2 linked regions of the Kluyveromyces lactis genome follow. The protein of the gene in region 2 binds, or shares a complex with, the protein of the main gene of each other region. Links are inferred from orthologs where the notes say so. Each region holds a gene or a part of one and is shown on either strand. Other genes may lie near its edges.

Region 1 (2,479 bases), on a different chromosome or scaffold from region 2:
CAACTCTCTGAAATTGAAGGCGGAAGCTTAGGAGGCAAAGCTTCATCTATTGATTTTATCAGCACTAACGGATCCATCAACAAGGACATCGTTAGAAATTTCATCGATGACGTTTTACAATTCTGAAATCATTCGAAATATTTTGGTCCTTAATGCATATATGTATAATTATACAAAGTCATCCTGTAAATAGTGCGGAAGAACAGATATATAGACTTCATTTAAGTTTTTGACGTACACCTGTCGATTGATTCTCCATAATAGAAAAATATTTAACATAAACTATTTTACATGCTTTCGTATAAATTCCTTATGATATTCGCTTTGAGTAATATTATTGACATATTTTCCCTTCCCATTTGAATTATGTTCAGATATACTTGCCGATTGATTGACTGTACCTTTACGTCCAAATACAGTGTTAGATCTCCAACCACCATGCTTTTGCGGTTTCGTCACTTCTTCATTTTGAGCTGCTGTGATTTCAGCACGCTGTTCTCTCAGTTTTTTGTCCAATCTTTCTTGCTTAACTTTATTCCACTCCTCTAATAGCGCTTCTTCATCTTCACTCTCCTCCTCCTCTTCCTCGTACTCATCGCTACTATCCGTGGCCTGTATCTCTTCATCTTTCGAGCATTCCTCTGCTCCAGTTATTTTGATTCTTTTCTTAGCCTCCTCACTCGGAGTACTTTCTACTTTACGATTCAACACCCTCTTCTTCGTGTTTCTATACTTAACCTCTTTGTGCCCCGGTAAAAGTCTAGCGTGCTGCGTCGAAGTAGGAATGTATTCTATATTCTTTGCCCCATTCCTGGCCTCTAGTTGAGGTCTGTGCGATGTAGTCATTTCAGAACACAGTCAATATTATATTCAATCTGTAGCACTCCACTGAAACTAACGTAAGCTTATCTACCATCCCAGGTACCAGTTAAATTAGCTCACCTGTTTTGCCTGTGAACAATCTCGTGAATGTGCGTTGATGTTCAATCTTTATAGCCTTGATATGAAAAAATAGCAATCTGAAACTTCAAATGCGAATCTACGTTAACAATTACCGTGTACCAAAGAAATAAGAACTACGAACGTCGTACTGGCAACTACATATAGCAAGCTACATTTCATACCAAACTTTTCTAAGAGGACATAGGACTTTATCATTTAATCATTTCCCGTGGAGCATTCGTTCACACTAGAAATATAGAACTGAACACATATTGAATGAGGCTTTGAACTTAGATCAAAGACGGTGAGATTTACTAATAACATCAGAAGACATAACTATCATAATGTCAGAATATGAGGTTGACCAAGAGGACGATATGGTTGGGTACATATCGATAAAAGATTACGCATATGACGAATCAAATCCGTTACATTTTGGTTATTTTGAAGAAGATGATGAAGATCAGAACAACCTTCGATTGAGTGGGAACAGAGAAAGTGTGTTACTACCAGATGATTATATCGTTAATAAGAGAGCCATAGCGATGTATGCTTTTGTCCCAGAAAATGATAACGAGTTGGAGTTGAAAGAAGGAGATGTCGTATATATAAGTTACAAGCATGGCCAAGGGTGGTTAGTGGCAGAAAATCACGATAGATCCAAGACAGGATTGGTACCGGAAGAGTATGTGCAGTTGATTGAAGACGATGGCGAAGACAACGGTAGGTATGAGAATCCTAGGCCGTTTTATCTTACTCAAATGATAACGCAGAGCATGTCTAATTATCACGATGATGATTGGGAAGACATAGAAGATGACGAGGAAGCTGAAGGACATAGTGATAAAGAGCACAGAAGTATACAGCGACCCAGTCAAGATTCAGTATCAGTTGATATAACGAACAACAATGGTGTTTCTCATGATAATAGAACTGTTCTTGAAAACGGAAAAACAGGCAGTACGTTAAATGAAAAGAGCGACGTATCAGAACTCGCGAAAGATATCAAGGAGAAATTGGATCTATAGCATTCTGTTTTCTGCGCTAAATATCTATATATTAGCTGCAATATTAATTAAATACTTTTCTAGTAATACGTTACAATAAAAGTCCCGTTAAGATGAAATGAAAGAATTGATCAAAAGCAGTTTAACATGAAGCCCGTGCCTGCATTCTTAGATCATTCAAGCTCGTTGATTTCGATTTCATCAATTTCTGTAACTTCCTCTCCACGTTTGAGTTTCATTAGTTCTGTTATATCAAGAGCACCACCAATTTCATTCAACAAGCCATGGACTCCTTGGATTATTTCCTTGGCCATTTCATCGTCGGACTCCGCATTTTCACTGAACTTAGAAGCAAAGCTCAAAGAAACACGCGCCTCGTAAATAATGTCCTTCAATGACTCATTCTTGATATCCAAAGGTAATTCTTGGACGTGGGAATTGAATTCGTAGATATTTTCAGGAGATAGTTGTAATGATTGGTTTTGTTGTTTAAACTGTTCTAATTTAGCCATCAAATAATATGTGAACCC
Region 2 (4,147 bases):
TGCGGTTCCTCTGTCCTCTGGATCAACCATTAAACACCAATTTAAGAACATAGCCATTTTATGACTTAAATTTCCAGGATCCTTTAGCTTTGGCGTACCATTGGTAGCGATCAAATATAGAGCTCTTAGTGGTGTCTCATTCAGATATGGTGGTTCACCTTCTATCATTTCAATGATCATAATACCAAGAGACCAAATATCAACCTTTGGTCCATATTCTTTTCTTGATACGACTTCTGGGGCCATCCAGTACGGAGTACCAACCATCGTCGTTCTCTTCAAATTTACCTCGTTAATCTGAGCACAAAAACCGAAATCTGTTAGTTTGATGTCTCCGTTCATGGATAGCAAAATATTGTCTGATTTAATATCTCTATGAATGACTCCCTTTGAATGCAAAAACTGTAAACCCTTGAGTGTTTCTCTAGAGACGGCACCGATTTGCCCTTCAGTCAATATACAGTGCGTAACGACATCAGTCAACGAACCACCTTCCATGTATTCCATGACAACCCATAAATCACCTCTAAATAGGTATGAATCAATGAAATTAACAATGTTGTTGTGTTTGCTTCCTTTCATGACCAGAATTTCATTCACAATTAACTCTTTCTTGGGTTGTTTCTCCAAATTCATCTGTTTTATTGCTACTGAAGCATTTGTGCCCAATTCATACGCTGTGTAAACTCCTCCTGATGCACCTTGTCCGATTTTGATCAGATTCTTGTACAGTTTGCTTGGGTCTCCTGTTGTGCAAATCTCGGTTAATTTTGATTGAATTTGTTGATTCTTTCTTTTCCTCTCTTCCCTCTTTTTTTCCTGGGCCTTTCTTGTCTGGACATTAGAAGTATTCGATTCCTCTTTCACTTCCACAGCAAGCCCGGAAGGAATTGCAGGTATTGAGGATTGTTCCGGTGTTGTAGGAATTGCAGGTTTTGGTGGAGTAGGAGCCGCTCTTGCAGGCAATAAATTTGCTGGTTTTTCTGCAGCCTTTGGAATAGGAGGTAATGGTTGCTCACTTTTCAATGTTGGCATCTTCTTGAATGAGAAAATGCTTGATGACTGAGTATCACTTCTTTGCACTTTTGGTGTTCCATGGCCAAGCGAATTGATTGGTGAAGGGATTTCGACCCTACGGCTAACTGTGGAGGAACCTTGAGGTTTTGGAGCAGGCCGAGTCGGTATGAACTTTTCGTTGTTCACAGTTTCACTGAAATCGTTAGTGAGCAGCGGACCCTGTAAGTTACTAGAGTATGGGGTATCATTGTTTTCATTCGGAAAAGTTGCATCTGTTTGCATTTGCGGAGTTTCGAACTTCTGTACTGATGCAGTTGATGGGGTTCTGAAAGAAGGTGTAGATGCAATGTTTGCACCAGAGCCACCTCCTACTTTGAAAGTCTTGAAGACTTTCTCTTCTCCAGAGTTTTCAGTAACATCTTGGTAGAATTTTACAATATCCATCACAGCCTGGGGATGTTGCTGTTGTTCTTTCATACTAATGCCACTGGAAGTTAAAAGTTTCTCCCATTCATTTGGTAACCCTGTATATTCCCCTGTTTTGGAGTCAACACCTACATGATAAACATGCTTAGCATTATAAGGAGTAGAGATCTTAAATGCATTATTTCCACTTCCATTACCGCTTCCGCTAGAAATTCTTTTCTCTGAGTGTGAGTTCCTCTTGATGTTTTGAACGAATGTTGAGAAAACACCTTTCTTCTTAGTACCGGTCTTCCTCTTAACATCATTAGAGGAGGTGGAGGAATTAGAATTCCTCTGGGAGTGGTCAGGCGTCCCATGCTGACTCTTAACGTTTTTCCTCAGAGAAGAAAACGGAGAAGAAATGGTTCTGAAGGGGGATCTTGATTCTGATACTGGTGTTTGATTTTCGAAAAAGTTATTCACCATTACGGGAGTTTTAATTGGAGGATCCTCATTTGTTGTTTCTGGATGTGGTTCTTCTTCAGGTATTACTTCATGCACACTTACGTGTTTCGAATGATCTGCAGACGCTGTCGATGCCTTGTTGAAACTATCTGTAGATGATAATATCTCATTTAGCGGGGACTCATATACATCATTGGCATCAACTTCAGTTATAGGTGTTGTAATCTTTGGAGAATTTGAGGTTTGTGTGGAATTTAGGAAGTCAGAAGAAGTTTCCAGGGCCCCGCCCATAAGAGAGAGATCAGGTGTCATCCTCCCGCCAGTAGATATTCTACCTATATTTTGGGAGGAACCTTCTATAGTTGACATCGTCTTATCTCCAACAATAGATTCAATTGTCCCTGGCGTCTCCTTCGAAGTCAAATTATTTCCTTCTTCCACTTTTCCTTCTAGATGCGATATTAAATCTGCATCACCTTCCGATATACTTTCACTTAACACAGAACTGGAAGAGACTCTTGTAAATTGTATCGGTTCATCCAAAGTTGGCTGGTTACTATTAAAAATTTCCGAAACATTTGTTGGTACGGTGCCCGGTTTCCCTGGATCCATAGATTTATAATCTGAAAGGTCTTTGACGTAATGATCTTCGTCTGATTCTTGTAATCCTTTCACATCCAAACTCGCTGGTGCACGAGGTAAATCAAAGAGATCTTTTGAGACAGATTGTTCCCTAGTCTCCGTTACTTCTGTATGATCCTCTAGAGTTTGTACTGAAAGATTTTCACGATGTACATCCTCTTGTTTTGAATCTTGATTTTGACTTTTGCGTATGCTACTGGTGTCACTTTCTGTATTGCCACCATTTTCTCTCACGGAAAGCGCATCAAATGTGCCTGGTAACAATTCTTCAGTATATCCAGTATCCGTCATTATATGGAGACAAAGTAGTGAGTGTAGTAGCTTCTATCAAAAAAAAAAGGCCTGTGTCAAAAGATGTCTTGTGGTTAATTCTATCGACCGAACAAAAAGGAAAGGTATTCCGAAAAACACAAACAGGTCTGTAATGATTTCTAGAGCATACAACCGTCAGTAACAAAGCCTGCTGTGGCCGTGTTAATTTCTGTCAGAAAAAAAGCTAGATTACTTTGTTCAAAGAATAGAAGATCAAGTCAGATAAACAATGAAAGAAATGACAAAACGTGCTCTGTAAAATTCTTTCTACCTTCACCTCCTTCTAACTTAAAAACGAGAGCCTGTTGTGTAATTCAGTGTAACGAACGTCTTTTGATTGCTAAAATCACACTCTCGCCAAAACAAACAAATAATGTGTGCTTGTTATTAAAAAGATCCAAAAGAAGATGGTATTACCTGGTATTACTCTCTGAAATACTTGTCAAATCGGCAGAGATAGCCTGATTAATAAAATTTAAAACCTAGTTCTAACACAAGCCACAGTTAAAGCAACAATTGAGCTTGCTCGTTTCTCTAATCTGCTTATAAACATGCATACCATCTGATCTTTACATTCCGTTTGTTTAAACTCTTAAGCTTTAAATTTCAGTTTCAACATTTTCGCCAATCCCAAAGAGTAAATCCTGTCACATGTCACGAAAGTATGTGGTATTGAAATCTTTAGTTAGGGTGGAGTATGGTTAGATCTACAGACATCTCTATGTAGTTATATACATATTCTATGACAATAGGAAGGCTCCGGAACCTTCAGTCATTGCTTGTGCAATACGATCTTTGAGTACCAGTTTATCAGAGTATTTTGGTAGTTTCAAGTAATTGGCGCATGTCATAACGCTAGGTAGGCAATGGTCTGCCGAGATGTTCCCATCTGGGTGCTTCAGGACTACTGTGAATTTGGGTTTTAAGTTTTTGAAACCGCCAAGAGGTAGTTTCGGAGAGCCAGTGATGAATTGTAAGAACAAACGTTTCTGTTGTGTCGAAAAATTCGACAAAATATCTATGAGGTCTGTTATGATTGGAGAATCCATCGAGTAGCCATGGTCTGCATGAATGGATGAGTATAGCGTTTGCACAGACCAATCTTCAGCAACTGCACCAAACAAATCGGATAGTTCTGTCGGAGTTAAGATTAGCAATGATGAATAAGGGAATGATTTCGAAAATCCGTTCCTGAAGGCAGCGAGCTGCATATCTACGCCTTTGCCCAAAAATTGGTCAAAGACACGAATCAAGTACTCTTCCACGTTGAAAGATTCAACTAAGATTTTCGAACCACCTTCCAACA

The links. Proteins that work in one complex are often made in the same cells at the same time.
Region 1: the proteins of STE20 (region 2) and NBP2 are in contact, whole or in part, in an NMR structure (PDB 2LCS), measured with the Saccharomyces cerevisiae proteins. The link is inferred for Kluyveromyces lactis from reciprocal best matches to the Saccharomyces cerevisiae genes STE20 and NBP2. Residues at the interface, in NP_011856.1 of Saccharomyces cerevisiae: Phe470, Ile471, Pro472, Ser473, Arg474, Pro475, Ala476, Pro477, Lys478, Pro479, Pro480, Ala483; in NP_010446.3 of Saccharomyces cerevisiae: Tyr119, Phe121, Glu124, Asn125, Asn127, Glu128, His143, Gln145, Gly146, Trp147, Val149, Thr158, Gly159, Leu160, Pro162, Glu164, Phe165.

The regions. Positions count from the first base shown.
Region 1 is NC_006040.1:1,430,444-1,432,922, reverse strand, and holds NBP2 (adaptor protein NBP2), read left to right. Parts: upstream 1-1,286; coding exon 1,287-1,970; downstream 1,971-2,479. Other genes in the region: SLS1 (Sls1p), read left to right, coding at 1-126; U2-type spliceosomal complex subunit CWC15, read right to left, coding at 283-846; ACL4 (Acl4p), read right to left, coding at 2,123-2,479. UniProt on the Saccharomyces cerevisiae protein: Negatively regulates the high-osmolarity glycerol (HOG) pathway through its negative regulation of the HOG1 kinase activity. Mediates the binding between the PTC1 phosphatase and the PBS2 MAP/ERK kinase (MEK).
Region 2 is NC_006038.1:1,190,265-1,194,411, reverse strand, and holds the start of STE20 (mitogen-activated protein kinase kinase kinase kinase STE20), read right to left. Parts: upstream 2,821-4,147; coding exon 1-2,820. Other genes in the region: putative ubiquitin-protein ligase UFD4, read right to left, coding at 3,582-4,147. UniProt on the Saccharomyces cerevisiae protein: MAP4K component of the MAPK pathway required for the mating pheromone response, haploid invasive growth and diploid pseudohyphal development. Links the pheromone response G-protein beta gamma subunits to downstream signaling components.